4 linked regions of the Schizosaccharomyces pombe genome follow. The protein of the gene in region 1 interacts with the protein of each later gene in a biochemical or structural test. Each region holds a gene or a part of one and is shown on either strand. Other genes may lie near its edges. The genes, in order: uba1, ubc1, ubc11 and ubc4.

Region 1 (5,709 bases):
CCTTTTCGTCCTCTTCAACAGGTAGCTGGCTTTCGTAAAATTTTCGTAACTCTTGTTGTCGCTTTAGGTCTTCAAACCTTTCTTTTTTAATTCTTTTCCTTTCATCATCTTTTTGAACTCCCGCCGACATTTTCTATACTTACATTAGCTATGGTGCATATTTTCTTTAATATAAGTAAATATTACCTCTCGTTCAATAATCTGATTATTATGTACGAAATAAACCATGTAAACACTAAAGACACCGGCCCCGACGATACAAAGTTTTGAGGCAGTAGACATTGGCAATAATTCTAGTTAAATTTAATATAATGTATACGATAGACTTTTGTAGCCGAGTAAAGATATACTCTTAGGTAAATTAGGAGGTTAGCAGTCGAAACTTACGTAAATGCCAATCGCCGACGTTAAAAAAATTGCTCAAAAAAACAACAATTTTACTACATGTCAAAATACTTTTTAAAATATAACAGATCTTAGTTCATAAAAATTAGAAAGAGTATAGGAAAAATAATAAATTATTCATACATGCCTATTAATGTTTTTTAAAGACTGCTAATACTAATTTAGTAAATTTATTAGAGCCATTGGCATTAAATGTTGCAAATTCCAGGAATTAACCGGTTCTCAAAGGTATTACAACTTGATACAAATAAATGGAACTTCAACGTCTTCACCGTTGGCATCATCACAGCAAATTTCAAGCACCAAGTGTTTCCGGAAAGGTTCTAGTTTTTTCTTAGTAATTTGCTCAACCAATTCAGAAATTTTGAGAGGCAACCTTTCAGCAAGTTTCTTAGGTGGTTGGAAATTAGCATACAAAAGAGAAACTCCAGATGAAAGCATGGTCACTTCCAACCCCTCTTCTTTTTGGAAATAATCAATAAGCTCTTGAAGTGTGCAGTCCGGGAGATTGTAGCGATCCCAGATTTTGTCGATTTCTTTACCATTGACTTTCATTTTCGGAGAAGCAATAGGATCAGAAAATGTAAAGAGCCCTATAGCAAGGTTGAAAAATCCATTTTTATATTCCTCGATCTTCTTTTTGCCATCAACAAGTTTAACAAGCTCAAGACATACAAGTCCTGAAACGACAGCAGTTGATGTACACATGGCTGGTACAATTTTACCGGCAACAAACTTCGTCTTAAACCTATCCGCAGGTGTGATGTCGTAATTCATGGCACGCAAATTTGATGCAGCCGTTATAAAGTCAATGTGATGATTAGAGTCATCGTCCTTTTCAAATTCTGCCGGAGTTAGTCTAAAACCCACAAGAGAGGATGGAGGTGGTAGACTGTCAGCAATCGATTTCAGTTCTTGTTTATCTTTATTAGCAGCGGTTTCGGGAGCTTCTTCATTTTCATTGACTTGAATTTTAATACCAGACTTGGGAGCAAAGGGAGGAGGATTGTAGCCAGCAAGAACGCGTTCGTAAATAGCTGGGTCTGTCTCACTCTTAAGGCCGTAGTTGAATGCATAAAGACTGGCTGCTGCAACTATGAAGTCAAAATGCTCACGGTTGTGAATATCAAAAGATAATGGAGTAGGGGCACGCTTAGGACCAGACCAAAACGGTTGGCCAGTGGAGGTTACAGAATCCTTAGGGAAATTGAAAAGTAATTGCTGAATGTTGTTGTTAAAGAACTTATCAAACTGCAAACGGGCCCACATAATACATTCCTCAAATGAAAGAGGCTTCTCCGTAACAAGATAATCTCTAATATTTTCTAAAACTTCACGGGGGTTACTACTCGTTTTCAATGAAGTTTCCAAAAAGTTAGGAGAACTAAGGTACATATTAACGTTATCGATAGGCTGTTTAAACAAGCCTTCAAAGAGATCGCGAGCCCATGCAATGGTGTGCTCAATACGGTTAGGAAAGTTCTTCAAAGTACAGATAGGAAATGACTTTTCAGGAGGGTCTTGGGATGATCCGTACGACTCTGTAAGATGAGGTACAACAACTTGCGTATTACCCTTAGTACCCAAAGTACCAGACTCTAATAATGGCTTTTCGAAAAATACACAACGGCGGTCAACATACATTCGAGCTTCGACGTTATCCAAAGCATTCGTGACTAAAGATAACTTTTCAAAGAATTCATCGCCAAATATGCCTTCGCTTTCTGGTCCAACACGTTCTTGATATGAAGTTATTTTACCAGTCAATGAAGGATTCATGATTGAAACAGCGGTAGAAGCACATTCGGACTTCAGCTTTCCGACGTCACGAGGACGAAAGAGAAATTGACGATTCAAATTCGATTTTTCAATGGAGTCCATATCAGTAACAGAAATATGACCACTTTCACCAGTAGCGACACCCATCATAGCCCAGTTTTTCAGCATTTCACATCCAATAGCGCCAGCACCAACCAAAAACGTACTCAAAGAAGCTATTTTCTCTTGAAATTCCGAACCGAAAACAGCGATTTGCCCATCGTATCGACAGCCACGAGGTTTACAAGTTTCTTCACTGATCGTTACAGAAGATGGCAAGCTTTCTAAGGAGTCAAAATAGAAGTATTGCTTCAATGGGTAAAATTTACTGGTGGTAGCTTTCAACACTTCCTGTGCTACAGCACCGCCCAAAAACGCGGACATTGCAACCAAATCACCTCTTGCCTGGTATGAAATTTCCTTAATTAGTTTTTCATCGAGTTCAACATCAAATTGAAGTGTGCTTGCAATTTTCTTACAAAATTCGAAAAATTCAGCTGCATCAATGTCGTTACGGGGTCGAGGCAATGAACCTTCATGCGCATCGGCAAATGCTGAAAGGGCCTGGAAAGCAATGTGGTATTGTGGAGGTCTCATCATTTTACCAAAGTCAGGATATACATATTCAGGGTCCTTGAGCGATTCGCGGAGAGATTTGAAAGATATTTTGGTTGGAACTTTAACTTGGGTAAAGACACCATTGTAACCGGCACTTCCTAAATCTTTAACAGATCCGATAGAAAAGGTATATGGACCTTTCACTTCAACTTTACGAGGAGTGCCATCATTTAAACCAGGCATACCCTTCACTTCGGTAAATTTAACAAAATCACCATTCTCCAATCCATGACGAGTTTCTTCAAGCATGGTAACAACTCCATCATCAGTAATTGAAGCGATCATTCCAGTTAAAGGTTCATTTCCATCAGTGTCAGTACAAATAAAGTTCTCACCAAAATCACAAAATATCGATCCAAAAAGACCACGGCTGTCAGCAGCAATATAAGCAATATGGTTTTTGTGTGTAAAGTCGTTAATTTCTAGCTGTTTCGTAAGAGAAGTTTCTGTGACAACCACGCATTTGAAGTTTTTTAGATACTCTGTTGAAAGTTCATCAACTACAGAAACAGGCACATATTGATTAAGCTCTGCTAACTTTGATACCGTTACTTTTGCACGAGGAACACCAATATCGTCTTCTGTAAGAAAATATTGTGATGATAAGTCCTCAATGCGTGTAGGTTGAGGATCGTAAAGAGTAACGCTTTTTACACCTGCTAGACAAACGTTCTTTGCTATTTCAACGCCTAAACCTTTGCAGCCAATGATTAAGACATTCGACTGACTCATTTGTTTCATAGCCTCATGGCCTAAAACATAACTTTAGATAAATTAGCAAGCGCTCAGTACAAGAAAGAATATAAAAACATAAAGCTAAACCAAATCAACACCGGTAATAATGACTCTTCATGTTTCTAATAAAACTTACAGTTGTCTAGAGTAAAGCCCTTCATCGATAGTATTTTGATCCGTTTGATCAATGTTCATGTTATTCTTTTGCAATGTTAGTAAGAAGCGAAAAATACTTGAATCATTTAAACAAATTACATACACTCATTACGAAACGTGGTGTTGGCAGAGGAGAGTCATACGTAGGCTATAATATAGTGTTTTTATATGTTCAAATAGCGAGCTCTTTCGTTACACATGCTTAACAATTTATTACTCATTAAATTTAAGAGCGCGCACTTGAAGTATGCTGGCTGGATAAAAAAAAATTTTGCACCATTATTCTAAAAGCATTTTTATTTTCCAGCTTACTGATTGAAACGCTTAGTCATTACAAAAATCTTTTAGATGCGATAAAATTGCTTTCTATATGTCATATATACACCGAATCAAACAATATCGTTATATATATTAAGGCATGCAAACGCGTCATCCCAAAACGCGAAGCCACCACTGAAAATCCAGGCTGCTTCTGTATTGTTTTCTTAACGGTACATCAAGGTTAAAACAAATACTCTATAAATCGATGTCAGATAGAAAGAGAGTGTATGGACCGAGTGTATCCGTTCCCCCTTATTTTGAAGAGCCAGAACAACCTGTTTTCACGCGGACTCGTGATGTTGACAGATGTCGAAAAATATGTAAGATACCGATTATTAACATTTTCACTGACAATTAGATCTAAAATTAGGGTGGGCTACTAAAGCTGTCGGTAGCAGTTATTTTGAATCAGAAAAAATAAAAATTGCATGCACAGTCTCTGGTCCTCGACCTAGTAAGACTTTTGCTTTTCGTTCATCAGCAAAGTTGAATTGTGAATTTAGATTATCCCCATTTTCTACTTCTGTTCGTCAGGGACATGTACAAACCGTCGAAGAAAAAAGCTATTCCCAAATGATTGAAGCAGCAATTTCTCCAAGTATATTACTGCATTTGTATCCGAAAAGTTCTATAGACGTTTATATTCAAGTGATTGAAAGTGACGGTGCATTAGCAACATTGGCTGCTGCTATAAGTTGCGCATCAAGTGCAATAGCTGATGCTAACATCGACTGCATAGATTTGGTGACGGGCTCGAGTGTATTATTTAATCCCAATACGGATGAATATTGGATTGATCCTGATTATGTGGATGAGCGTGCAAGGGCTGCTAAAGGTTCTGTAGTTATGGGGTACATGGCTTCTCTTGGTCACGTTACTCAAGTATGGGAAAGAGGCACTTGCTCTCCGAGTCGCCTTTCGTTTTTGACGGAAAAATGCATAAAGAATGCCAAAGATACTCGGTTAGTAATTAATCATGCACTGCTACTAGAGAAGTCGAAATCCGAAGATCCTTAGATATTGGAATTCTACCTCTATAATAATATTCTGTTGATGGCTAATATTTATACCAATTTTACAAATTACATAATCAAATTTATTTCTTTTTAAAATTCTCTTCTATTAGTTGGCAATGCTCAAGTTTTGCCTTTTTTTCCTTAACACACATTTGAAGGGAGACGCTATCTTTTCTCGACAAACAAGCAGATGACTTCCCTAAGTAGATTTTCTTCTTTGAAATCAGCTTGGCCATCCGCAAGTTACGTTTGTTATGAAAAATACGAGTAAATATTAAATTAAAGATCTTAGTTTTTATCACTCGCGAATATATTCAGTAGCCAAACGATTAACTCTTTCCAATTTTTTCCAGTCTATTTATCGATTCCAATAGAACAAAACAAATGCTGAGATTTTATTAATACATATATTTGATACTAATTTATCAAGCTGCATTGAGACGAAAGCATCTTGGTAGTACTAGAATCATTGTTACTCACATACTGTTACCTGCTTCTTATAACCTCCAAATCAGCGAAATTCCGCGTCTTCATCATAGCCAAACTTATGCTCAATTGCCTCGTTTGTAAATTAAAATATATTTAACAATAAGAAGGACGATAAAGAGGGGATTCTTCTATACAATAAAATTGCTTTCAT
Region 2 (5,845 bases), 880 kb from region 1:
GGATATACGAGCAAATGCTGTTACAAATGTATATACAAGCTATATAGTGTTTGCCATTATTTTTCATACCGAAATTAAAATGATACTATATTCAAAATGATTCCTTTGATATGTACCATTGCGAAAATTTTATTTTATTTTTTAATATGTATGTATACATATTTTTTTTTTGTTTTGAATAAGTAAATGCAATGTTTATGAAAATGAAAAAATCGATTTATATATTATATCGGTTGATGTGCGACTTTTAAATTTTAAAATGTTTTTACATTTTTTTCTTTATTCAGTGATAATTTATTTTTTTTTTCTTTTGTGGACATCACAGACTCCATGGATACATCAAATTGCAATCGCAGTCGTCGGCGCGCATTTCGGATTAACACTAATAAAAGTGCATGATTCTTTAAACTCGCAGAAATTCGTAAATTCGTTGTACTGTTTACAAGACAGCATATTTTGCACAAATATTCAATTCGTGCAAAATGGTGAAAACTATGTCTAAGCCGACTTCAATCGCGTTCTCAAGCTAGGTTTATTAAAAATGGGCAAGGAAAAATTCTTACTTGTTCATCTAATTATTCTTTCTTTTTATCTAATATATATTTCGTCCATCCTTAATGCTTGATTCTTTTTTTTTTCTTTCTAAATCACTAAAAATAATCTATTTAACTAGATTGAACATTACATTTCAAGATCTCTTAATTTTTTTCTCCTATAAAGAGCTCTACAGAAATCATCGCAATTGTAACGAAGTAAAACAAAGTGCTGTGAGCAACTGTCTTCCAACACTTCCATCATTCTTGTACACAAAGGATTGCTTTTAAGTCCCTTTAAACTCTGAAATTGACCAATGATACAGGTAAGCAATTTCTAATCCTTTATTTAAAATTGCTGACAATTTCAGATTTTTCTGCGTGTCAAAAAAGCACAGCCGAGTTCGGACGCTTCAAATAAATATGGATTTCTTACGGTGCTTAACGATTACGAAATTTTGCTGGAATCTCCCGAGGATTCACATGCTTACAGAGTTTCCAAATCTAAAACGTTAGAAAAGGCTTCTTTTACTAAAGTCTTTCCTCCCTCTTGCACACAGCTCGATGTCTTTTCTACTATTTGCGCTCCTTTAATAGCGGATTCCTTGGTAAACATGAACGATACCTTGTTGTTTACACTTGGTGTATCGGGAGCAGGTAAAACTTATACGCTTTTCGGTCCTTCAGATCGTCCGGGTGTTGCGTTCCTTGCATTAGACGCCTTGTTTTATGCTATCAAGGGACGAGAGGCAAGTGTAAGTACACATACCATTGACGATTTTTAAGCAAAACATGTTTCTTTCTGATGACTTTTTTTTATTTTAAATCATTGCTATTCTCGTTTTGAAATATAATATGACGAATTTAATGCTGACGATTTTAGCCCCAAACAGTCGAGTTTTTACGCTCTCAACTTGAAAAATGCAAAATTGTTGAAGCATCAAAATTTTTAAGAGGAGAAGCCCCGTTGGACATCAAGGTACCTAATACTGAATATTATGCCAGTCATTTTCCCAAAATCGAAGAGAAAAATTATCAGTATGCTATTTACTTGTCGTTTGCGGAAATCTATAATGACCGAATTTTCGATTTACTAGAGAAGGCCAGCTTTTTTGGACATCGTCATGCCTTATCGTTGAAGAAATCTTCGACATCGGATAAAAAATCAATTGCTGGAATTCAAAAAGTGTTCGTTTCAAACACCACTGAAGCTTACAAATTGATTCAAAAAGTTTTACAACTTAGAAAATCTACTTCTACAAAATCCAATTCTGTTTCTTCACGCTCACATCTAATCATGTCCATTGAGCTCTTCAAAGTTTGCACCAAAAGCAATAAATTTGAAAGTTGTCAAATAGATTTGGTGGATTTAGCCGGATCCGAGCGTACACGTTCCGCAGAAACTTCAGGTCTACTTCTTAGGGAAGGAGCAAGTATCAATCGAAGCTTATTAACTTTAGGGCAATGTTTAGAAGCCCTTCGGAGAAAGCATGAAGGAAAACAGCATATCATACCCTTTCGCCAAAGTAAACTTACAGAACTTTTGTTTCATTCTGGACATCTTTCTGGTCTGGCAGGAATTAACATGCTTGTAAATATTGATCCGTTTGGTAGCTTTGATGAAAATGCCCAAGTAATGAGGTACAGCGCCAATGCTCGTGAAATTTTACCTCCACCCCTAAATGAAAATTCAGGCTCTCAATCTCCTTCGCATTCATTATTACAGAAGTCCAAAAATACATCAAGCACAAAAGCCTTAACATCACACTTGGAACAATTGCAACAGGAAAATCAGCAATTAAGGATGCTTCTAGCTGATGCAGATTCAGAGATGATGAACTTGGAATATGAAATTCGTCAACAAATGACCCGAGAAATGGAAGAACGCGTTTCTGAGGTGGAGCGCACGTTCCTGACCAAATTGCTTGAAGAATCTGCCCAAGGTATAGAATACACTGATCAAAAGCTAGAAAAAATGGGAGGATGGATGAAAAAACTTCAAGATGAAAATTCCGAAAAAACAGAAACGATTGCGCAGTTAGAACAAATTATCGAAGAATTACATGAAGAACTTCGAAGCCTTGAAGAGGAAAGTATTAAAGAAAGTTCGGCGACACAACAAAATGAAAATCAGCATAAAAGATCATCTCGCAAACTGCTTTATGAAGATAAACAAGCTATTCAGGAAGCCCATACTATAAATACAAAACGCAAACTGTGGCCACAGTCGACATTGATCCAAGCGCCAAATAGTGATGATGAGGAAAACGTACCCAGTCCGAGTCCCAAAAAAAAAGTTGTATCTCCAATAAAACCATTAAGCCCCTCTCGACGCCCTCCGTTGACTTCTTTGTATAGTGGGACAACTGATATCGATATTAATGAATTGTAAATCCGTCGTGCATAGTGCTTATGACAACTAAACGCACTATCAATCTCTAATGACATTCCATTTATAACGTTACGTGAAATATATGATACATCTTTCGATATTTTAATAGAACAAAACAGCTATAGTACCTCCAATCAATAACGATCAAATTTAATGTGAGATTGATATCAAATAAAATGTATATCATTAAAGTTACCAAGAATGGCAAAATGTGTTCATAACTCTTATTTGAGTAATATTTAGCTCTTGCCTTCACATGTATGTAGTCTTTAAAACGAAGGCATTTCCTTAATGTAATAGCTGATCTAAAATCCCATTGATGCCGTTTGGATAGTCCTTAAGATCTTCTTGGCTCTTTATGTGTTCCCTTTGTAAAACCCGTACTATAAGCTCTGTTGAAAATCCAAATTGCTGTAGATTTGTAATAATGTTTGGATCAATTCCACCAAACTCTGTATTTTCTGCATCTAAGTCAACTCCTGCAGGTGCGGCAGCATAAGAACTTGTCCATTCGCGGGCGGTTCGGACAAATTGTTGGTAGTTTTGCAGATACACTTGAGCTACCTGAGCATCTTGAGGATTTGACGGCTCTGGAGTGCACAAAAGTGATTGTAAACTTATTAAAGCTGATTTCATTGTATAAACCGGTGACCATTGATCCTTTAATATATCTAAACAAATAGCTCCAGTTTGGGAAGAAACGTTAGGATGATAAATTTTAGTATCAAAATTCATTTTAGGGGGGCGAAATGGATAATCTTTCAAAATTAGAAAAGAACCGGATACCTATAACATACCAATCTAATTATGTTATTAGTAAAATCGTAAATAAACACTATGAAAGATAATATTAAGTAGACTTACAGGAATTTCAATATCGACGACGAAGTAGCCACCTAAAATGTTAGGACCAAATAACTAAATAATAATATGGTTTTAAACGATGCAACGGTAAATTTTTCACAAGTGATAGCTCTTAATTTGACGACCTACGTAGGATGCGTACCCTCATAAGGAGTTCCCTCAGGACCTCTAAACATTCCTTTTAAATGTGCTACAAAAAGATTAGCAATATAATAGTGTATTTAGCTGTCTTACATATATCATCGTTTATAGTCCATACTTGAATTCCTGCTTGCTTATCCTGTTGAACATCTTCTCAATTAGTACGGTTTTATTAGAGATTTTAAATTATAAATACCAGCAAGTTCTTTAGCAATTCTACGAGAACGATTGTCTGACATATTGTGTTGAGTAGTTAATATTGTGTGTTGAATACAACTTCGGGCTAAGGATGTAGCAACCGTCTTATTTTCTATACTTCATATAATGATCGATTTAATAGACTGTTGAATACGGCAAAGATCTCAAAATTTGCAGAAAACATGCATGTCTTTATTTTAATTTTTCAATTTTGTATTCATAAAACAACATTTTGATCAATAAAAAAATAAAAAATAAAAAATTGTGACATTAGTAGTGCATTTTCAAATTTGATATAGCTTTGTTATTAAGCAGCACTAAATGACGATAGATAAAGGACATCACTTTCGTGCTTTTAATATGATCATGCTGTAACTTATTGAACTTTTATTTCGTATTAATAAATTAGAAGCATCTAATAACGATGAACTTTTTGTAATTGGAATACCGAAGCACAAATATGATTATATGATGATATAATGTAAAAATAAATTACTTTAATGATATTCTTTTCTTATATTATACTATATTTTTGTATTTGAAATGAACTTGTATCTTTAAATTGATTTAAGGTGCTTTACGTGTTGCTGCAGTATACTAATACAAAAAATATACGAAAGTTGAATTCAACTTTTACAATGCCCCATAGAAACGATAGAAGAAAGTCTGCTTCAAAGGCTCCTAATGCCATTATTCATGGCCGTGTTGCGAGTAAAAAAACCATAAAGAAGCAATTAAGGAATGGAAAATATGTAAGATTAAATCACCTTTAAGCATTTTAAAGAAATACCTAACCAATAATTTAGTCGCTGAAACGTCTTGCTGAAAAGGGGATCCATTTAGATGATATTGCAATGGGTAAGAAATTTTTTTAATAGTGTGTTTTACAGGAAAGCTTCATTTCCACCGTCAATTATGTATCTAACAAACGGACATAGAGATTGATAATGCCAGCAAGAAAAACATTTCCAAAGATAAGTCTTTGAATGAAAATCTATTTGGAAAAACCGAAGCCGGGAAACAAAAGGATTTCATGAACATTGAGCCAACATGTAAAGGAACAATTTTGGGTGCTCCTCCAGCATTATAAGCTTATTTTTATTAAGCTTTATGGGTCTTTAGGGTTGATTGATAATAATATTAATACAATATGTTTTAAATATACGGTCCACACATATAGGGTTTCAACCAATGTGTTATCTATTTTGGAAAAAAAAAATTTGTATCATTGTATTAAGTCATCAAGTTGCTATGGTACTATGGCTTTTTCATATAAAAACATTTAATCAGCGTAATGTTTCAACATTCCAGAAAACAATTCCTTACATCTCACCTTGGCGCCAAGCTTGGCACACAAAAGGAAATGCCCGCTTAGTCTACGGTGTAATGAATAAGTTTCTTCTGGAGGAGGTTGAAGTCTTAAATCAAGCATAACAGGAATCTGCTGCTTAACCCTCGCAGTGATCGTTTGATCGCCAAAGTCGTAGACGTCAGGTGCATCAAATGCAAATGGCTCCGCAAGAGTGAAAATTGAATTTATATGCGCATCTATCATTTGAGCAGACTCATGATTATTTAAGTATCCTAGTTCAACAGATAATTTTTTGCACTTTTCTCGGTTACGATGAGCCGCCGCTAGTAAAAGTCGGCAATATTTCTTGATGAACTTTTCATCATATTCAATTGATGCTCCAAAATCTAGTAATTCAATTTTTTT
Region 3 (3,700 bases), on another chromosome or scaffold:
ATTCTAATGAATCTGACTTATCGTTGGGATTCCATGAAGATGGAATGGCTTTCGGCGTATTTGTTACATTGCCCTCCCTTGTCATGTCAAACTCTCGTAAATACTTCTCCCATTTCAGCCATCGTGGGTCACTTCTAAGCACATTTTCTCCGTAATTGGTTCCTTGTAAATACAAGGGGAGATTGTCGAAGTTAATCGGCTGTTTTTCAAGATTCTTTGGTGTACTAGTCATTCGCAGGTATGCTCTTGGTAGCATATAAACAGCCAGTTTTAGTAGCTTATTCAGCTATCAGTTTAAATGTTCAATTTTCTAATCAGTTTTTCTTTTGTAATTAAATACAAATCTTTTGTAATAATAATTGGTAAAACTCTTAAATTTTTAAATGACGTGTAAATTTCAGCAACTCTATAAAATGCTCTGAGACTGAAAAGATACTTCACTATACGGCTTCATAAGGATTAAAGGCTCAAAATTAGAAATACAAATATTAGGCTGTATATACAGTCCTATTACTAATCAGAAAAAAATTCAGGCACAACATAACATTGATACTTGTCTTGCGATAATACATAACACAATGACATTGAGAATCAATAATAATAAAATAGTATTATAATCTAACGGAAAGCTAAAAAAACGACTGCATTAACGGAATGCATTAAACAAGAATAGCTTTAATCGAGCATCATAATAACAACTTCAACTTCTGGAACTAAATAATGATAGACGGTCCTTAAAAAACCATTCGGTGGTTTTCAGGAGGTTGTGGCATTGCATGAAGGAATTGCTTAATCGATGAGATGAAATAATTTCAACTTCCATTATCAATGAAGAAAGTTTAACTAAAGACATTTTTTCAAGCATTGAATAGGAAAAGAAAATCCATATGACTAAACAGAAATGAAAATGAGTATGAAATAGACCGGCCTAACTAAATTTCATCGATTTCTTTATATCTCTGCATTAAAAGACGTTTGTACTCGATAGGGTCTTTACTCCACAATTCTGCAGCTCTAAGAATTGTTAATAATCAAAAAAGGTAAATGAGATATTTTCAACATACTGAGCATTCAAGGGAGAAGCATTGTTTGGCTCACCCAGCAGACTTTGTAGAGATAACAAAATTGTCTGTACGTTATAGACTGCTGACCATTTATCTTTTAAAATGTCTAAACATATGTTTCCACTCATATCGACATTGGGGTGCCACATTGGTGAAGTAAAAATGATAGTTGGAGGGGAATATGGGTAATTAGCTGGAAATGACATTGAAATTTTAAATTTCAATCCTTCATAGTACTATTTTCGTTACGTTAGTCGTATGAAAAAGAAGAAAGAAGAGTAGACAGTTATGAAAATGTAATGACAAAGATGTGTATTAATTTTCCATTAAAGTGCAGCTACAAGTAAGCACACCAAGCATTATTCATATACTTTAAATATTAAGCTTTCAAAATAAAAGTCATACCGTATCGCTTGGGCCGGTAATTGTGCCAGCCCAATGTAGCAGGTTAGAATCAGAATCTGGAAACGCACTAATTCCAGGAGTATTGGACATCTAGTCATAAAACCCTAGTTAATAACAAAGTAAAAAAGCTTATTACAAACCATTAAACTCATTAATTCGCTTCTCAATCTACAAATGCATTAGAGACTTTTTTCCTAAAAACTGTTTATTTTTTACCGTTTTGTAACGCTATGACCGTCAACAGCCATGCCAGCAGAAGAAGAGTTTTTAGAATTAGTATGAGGGTTCTGGTTTTGCATATCAGAATCCATTCCTCAAGTTGTTACTGTAGTTTCTCAATGAGTACGTGGTGGTAGGAGAGTAAGTTATAAACACAACACAACATGTGCTAATGTACACAAGTAAACGAAAACCGGATATCAAATTATAGTCCAATTTTATATCATTATATAGATTTAAAACTCATTTAAAAATTACCTTAATTTAATCTTTTCCAGTCTTTGATGATGTTAAGACTGTAAATAATACACATGCCAAAATTTGCAACATATGCTTGTGTTATATTATAATCTTCTTTCCCTTTACACCAAAGAATGGCTCAAAAATTAGATAACTTTCCTTACCATATTGGTAGAGAAATAGGTACTGGGGCTTTTGCTTCGTATGAATTTTGATTTGAAAAATACTATATACTAACTTAAGCAAGCGTCCGTTTATGTTACGATGATAATGCTAAAATATATGCTGTCAAATTTGTCAATAAAAAACATGCTACTAGTTGTATGAATGCAGGGGTATGGGCTAGAAGGATGGCTAGTGAAATACAACTTCACAAACTATGCAATGGACATAAAAATATCATTCATTTTTATAATACAGCAGAAAATCCCCAATGGAGATGGGTAGTACTTGAATTTGCTCAAGGTGGTGACTTATTTGACAAAATAGGTGGGTGCATGAACCTTTCGTTTTTACTAACGGACTTACAATTTAGAGCCTGATGTAGGTATTGATGAGGACGTCGCTCAGTTTTATTTTGCTCAACTTATGGAAGGTATTTCCTTCATGCACTCTAAAGGTGTCGCGCATCGAGACTTGAAACCTGAGAACATCCTTTTAGATTACAATGGTAACTTAAAGATTTCAGACTTCGGCTTTGCATCTTTATTTTCCTATAAAGGTAAAAGTAGGCTTTTGAATAGTCCAGTGGGTAGTCCACCATACGCTGCTCCAGAAATTACACAGCAGTATGATGGTTCAAAAGTTGATGTCTGGTCCTGCGGTATAATTCTTTTTGCTTTGTTATTAGGCAACACACCTTGGGATGAAGCAATTAGCAACACTGGTGACTACTTGCTTTATAAAAAACAATGTGAACGCCCGTCTTACCACCCATGGAACTTGTTGTCTCCAGGAGCCTATTGTAAGTCCTGACTGAAATTCCTTTAAACTAATGATCAGCGATTATCACCGGAATGCTTCGAAGTGATCCATTTAAGCGCTACTCTGTCAAACATGTTGTACAGCACCCATGGCTTACCTCAAGTACACCATTTCGAACTAAAAATGGGAATTGTGCCGATCCTGTAGCATTGGCATCAAGGCTCATGTTGAAACTTCGTATTGATTTAGATAAACCACGTCTTGCCTCATCTAGAGCATCTCAAAAGTAAGATCTTGCACAGTTGTTTCATATTTCTAACTCTTTCAATTAGCGATAGCGGTTTTTCAATGACACAGCCAGCTTTTAAAAAAAATGACCAAAAGGAGTTGGATCGTGTAGAAGTTTATGGCGCCTTATCCCAGCCAGTACAACTTAATAAAAATATTGACGTTACTGAAATCCTTGAAAAAGACCCCTCATTGAGTCAGTTTTGTGAGAATGAAGGTTTTATTAAAAGATTGGTATTATTTATTTAAACCTAAATTTTTTCTAACTATATGAAAAAGGCCAAAAAGGCTAAGAATTTCTACGAAATTTGTCCTCCTGAAAGACTCACTAGGTTTTATTCTAGGGCGTCGAGAGAAACCATTATAGATCATCTTTATGACAGTCTACGACTACTTGCAATCTCAGTGACTATGAAATATGTTCGAAATCAGACCATCCTTTATGTTAATTTACATGATAAACGGAAATGTCTCTTGCAAGGTGTTATTGAACTAACTAATTTAGGCCATAACTTAGAGCTTATAAACTTTATAAAGCGTAATGGGGATCCTCTTGAATG
Region 4 (3,365 bases), 3.2 Mb from region 1:
AAATACAAAACTAGGAGTTGAATTGACTGGCTATTATGAGTTGTGTCTATAGCAGTATCACTTCGTATTGCATGTCAAGTATTATCATTTTCTTTTCAGCAAAAAGGCGCTACAAGGAATTTGTTTATTACTTAGTTTTGTTTAATAAATATTTTTAGCAAAACCTTAAAGACGTAGAGCCGTTTACTCTCTTCGTAACACGACTTTCCATTCGTGTTATTCTACTTTTACTTGCACAATATTTCACTTAATCGGCAGTGTTTACGTACCTTTTTAAAAATATATGCACAAACGCTCTTGGAATAATCCAACTGGACCCATTCGGTCTTATTAAACACAAAGAAAAATTTTGTACTATTCAAAAAATCATAAAAATTATCTAAATCAAATCATACTTTATCCTCGAACATAATACAGTTTGTTTTAAAGGCAGCTTGTATCCTCAATTTTACGATGCAACTTTACTAGCTACATTATCGCCATCCCCTACTATTTATTTAAAAAACCAAAACCAAAAAAAAAAAAAAAAAACTATACAATACATTGGAGAAAACAATTCGCAAAAGAGATGAATATTTAATATCAACACAGAAACAAACTCTAGATTGCGTATTTTCTAGTCCATTCACGAGCACTTAATTCATAACGGGATCTGTCAGTTTTGTAGACGTGCGCAATTTCAGGCACAAGCGGATCATCAGGATTAGGATCTGTCAACAATGAGCAGATAGACAGTAATACCTTTGATATAGTCAACGCTGGAGACCATTGGTCACGAAGGATATCCAAACAAATGCTACCGTTTGAATTGATGTTGGGATGATAGATTCTGGTTGTAAAGTTTACCTACGAATATGCTGTTAGTTATCATTAAAAAAAAAAGACTATCAATCAGATTCGTAATGCTACGCAATGTAATTGCCCTCGCTTCACTTGGATGGACGCAATCGTATAAAAATCGATAAAGTTCCGCTGGTAAAACATAAAGAAATGAAGATAAAAGGTAAGAGTAAACAATTATAAAAAAACTTCTGCGTATACTCTTTCACCATAACACTTAAAAAATTTTGCATCACTGTCAACCATACCGATTTTTCCAGAAAAACAAGATGCAATCAACTCTTCAATTCATATTGTATATAACAAACTTCCTCCTCCGATTCACAAGCTTACAATGCGTATTTACATAATCTACACAAGACTAAATAGTTACATACCTTTGGTGGCTTGAATGGGTAGTCCGTAGGGAAATGAATGGACAAGAAGAAGACACCACCCGCATAAGGGCTGTCAGCCTATATATCATGTTAGCTGCACAATCCTAGCAAGCAAAATTTTGGCAGTGCGCAAGGCACTATTACAGCCGCGACTTACAGGACCCATGATTGTAGCTTGCCAATGGAATAAATCATCGCCAACAGGGCCGGCGGAACAAGAAGACGGTGGGTCTTTTCCAAGATCAGCTAATTCACGGTTAATTCTTTTCAAAGCCATCGTTACTGGTTTGCTTTTGCGATTTTACAAAGTCAGTAGTTTGCTCGTGGAAGAACGTGGACGGAGGTAGAAATAACATATAACCGATGGATGCACTAAATCACACGAGTTCGACTTTGTCTGAGTAAGCAATTTTTCAGGATGGCGCAACTTGCTTTGTACCTGCAAAATACCCGCTAAACAGTTTGTTATCCTTTTAAGGATACGCTACGTTACGATAAATTTTTTCGGGATCCAGCATACTATTGTATTACAAATAGGGCAAAATTAAAGAGAATTACAGATATTATATTATGGGGGCGGTATTATAACGATTTATCAATAAAAGAGCTTGTAAGTGAACTGAAGAACGAGGATCAGTTTAACTGACGACATGATGGCTAACTCAGAAACTATTTTACTTGTGAAATACAATATAGACTATATCAGTATCTTCCCGTATTTAGCGAATAGAGAAACCGGACAGGCGATATTTGATGATATGCGCCGTAGCGACCACAGCAGAATACACCATTGCTCAAAATATCGACAAAATTGTTAAATTACTATAACGTAAAAAATGAGCTTGCCGTTCCACTTTAAATATATAGTGTTGATCATATCTACTAACTTAGCTAAAATTGACAAAGTGGTAATGGGAGAGACTAATGTATAGCTTTGGTTTTATAAAGTGTTACTTAAGTCACGTTAGAAAACTAGCTTATATCCACTGTGGTTATTATTTTCTGCCGGAAGCCATTTTATAGCATTGCTTTATTTGCTCTAGTTATGCATAACAAAAAATAAATTTGCACAAAAATTTTTTGCCCATTTCGCCATTTATAATTAAAAAGACTAAAGTATACCTTTGATTGGAACCATAATCCAAGATCAAATCTGTATTGCTTCACAGCATAACCATAAATGTGTTTGCATACGTGTATTATATACGAAATATAAAACAACAAATTTGAAAATAAAGCACACGACCATTCTCCAAACCCCTGTGTTTTTAGCGTATTACTCATTTATTACAATGTGCAAAGACCAAGTCTCAGTTTAAACAACAAACGCATTTGTAGCGTTGTAGCACCGATCGAAAACTGTTTTTCAACAACTTTCCTTCTGTTACAGCTTCGCAAACTCACTAAATATTTCAATCTGTAAACTACATATAGTTTTCATAGACATTAAAGAAACATACAACTGAACAACTTTGAAAGTATATTTTAAGATCTATAAACTTTCCATAAGTTTTTTAAAATTCGCCCAAATCAGGCTCATCGTCATCTAAATCTGCCTCAGCCATTTCTTTATCCATACGCCTACGTGCCTCTTCCACACCTTCGAGTTCACTTTTGTGAGCATCCATGGGATATCGCATACTTTTTATGCTGTCATTATGAAGGGCAAGACAAAACTGAATACGTTCATGAAAAGCTTGTTGAGGCTGCTCGGTGGAATAAATATCCATGGCTTCGTTACTAGCCATAAAGGCATTACTATGATCGATACTTGCATCAATAACTCCATCACGGATGCCCTTAGCAACAATGTACTCGGCACTCTCTTCACTGTCCAAACCAAGCTTTATACAAACATCACGAAGGGAAATACGGGAATAAGATAAGGAGATCATCCTCAATCCAGTCTTAATGACGGTATGGCGAAGGCGGCATATCAAAGTATACAATCCATCGAAGCGAAATTCAGCCTCATACTTGGAAAGCGCGTCAGTGAAAGCACAAAGGTCACCAATACGAACTGCCTGGCTAATACGTAAGTAAGGCACTAAAGTTTTTTCGAGAGATTTTTGGCGGAAAATGCGGCGTTCGGGAATTTCTCCCATAAGCAATTGTACGACGATGTGCAATTTGTAAACAGCTTCCAGA

Evidence for each region.
Region 2: of the proteins of uba1 (region 1) and ubc1, one has a biochemical effect on the other in vitro, tested with the Schizosaccharomyces pombe proteins (2 studies listed by BioGRID).
Region 3: of the proteins of uba1 (region 1) and ubc11, one has a biochemical effect on the other in vitro, tested with the Schizosaccharomyces pombe proteins (3 studies listed by BioGRID).
Region 4: of the proteins of uba1 (region 1) and ubc4, one has a biochemical effect on the other in vitro, tested with the Schizosaccharomyces pombe proteins (3 studies listed by BioGRID, with this or other methods).

What each region holds. Positions count from the first base shown.
Region 1 is NC_003423.3:3,886,828-3,892,536, reverse strand, and holds uba1 (ubiquitin-activating enzyme E1), read right to left. Parts: upstream 3,861-5,709; 5' UTR 3,842-3,860; coding exon 3,836-3,841; intron 3,778-3,835; coding exon 3,713-3,777; intron 3,605-3,712; coding exon 637-3,604; 3' UTR 501-636; downstream 1-500. Other genes in the region: Pet117 cytochrome c oxidase assemby protein, read right to left, coding at 1-133, 187-282; exosome complex component mtr3, read left to right, coding at 4,259-4,373, 4,412-5,070.
Region 2 is NC_003423.3:3,002,759-3,008,603, reverse strand, and holds ubc1 (ubiquitin conjugating enzyme Ubc1), read right to left. Parts: upstream 4,205-5,845; 5' UTR 4,170-4,204; coding exon 4,127-4,169; intron 4,081-4,126; coding exon 4,024-4,080; intron 3,980-4,023; coding exon 3,932-3,979; intron 3,822-3,931; coding exon 3,790-3,821; intron 3,727-3,789; coding exon 3,723-3,726; intron 3,684-3,722; coding exon 3,214-3,683; 3' UTR 2,926-3,213; coding exon of another isoform or gene 1,417-2,925; 3' UTR 1,289-1,416; coding exon of another isoform or gene 905-1,288; 3' UTR 860-904; coding exon of another isoform or gene 851-859; 3' UTR 501-850; downstream 1-500. Other genes in the region: kinesin-6 family microtubule motor protein Klp9, read left to right, coding at 851-859, 905-1,288, 1,417-2,925; ribosome biogenesis protein Alb1, read left to right, coding at 4,767-4,880, 4,935-4,986, 5,067-5,218; ABC1 kinase family ubiquinone biosynthesis ATPase Coq8, read right to left, coding at 5,411-5,845. UniProt on the Schizosaccharomyces pombe protein: Catalyzes the covalent attachment of ubiquitin to other proteins. Functions in degradation of misfolded or regulated proteins localized in the endoplasmic reticulum (ER) lumen or membrane via the ubiquitin-proteasome system.
Region 3 is NC_003421.2:1,057,958-1,061,657, forward strand, and holds ubc11 (ubiquitin-conjugating enzyme E2-C Ubc11), read right to left. Parts: upstream 1,832-3,700; 5' UTR 1,781-1,831; coding exon 1,686-1,780; intron 1,638-1,685; coding exon 1,610-1,637; intron 1,560-1,609; coding exon 1,470-1,559; intron 1,301-1,469; coding exon 1,065-1,300; exon of another isoform or gene 1,015-1,064; coding exon 933-1,014; 3' UTR 529-932; downstream 1-528. Other genes in the region: gid1 (putative Ran GTPase binding protein), read right to left, coding at 1-232; protein kinase Chk1, read left to right, coding at 2,063-2,130, 2,176-2,417, 2,464-2,892, 2,931-3,138, 3,185-3,374, 3,420-3,700. UniProt on the Schizosaccharomyces pombe protein: Catalyzes the covalent attachment of ubiquitin to other proteins.
Region 4 is NC_003423.3:713,462-716,826, reverse strand, and holds ubc4 (ubiquitin-conjugating enzyme Ubc4), read right to left. Parts: upstream 1,543-3,365; 5' UTR 1,495-1,542; coding exon 1,375-1,494; exon of another isoform or gene 1,296-1,374; coding exon 1,218-1,295; exon of another isoform or gene 1,060-1,217; intron 847-1,059; coding exon 601-846; 3' UTR 516-600; downstream 1-515. Other genes in the region: 19S proteasome regulatory subunit Rpn3, read right to left, coding at 2,732-3,365. UniProt on the Schizosaccharomyces pombe protein: E2 ubiquitin-conjugating enzyme that catalyzes the covalent attachment of ubiquitin to other proteins. Mediates the selective degradation of short-lived and abnormal proteins. Mediates ubiquitination of pex5.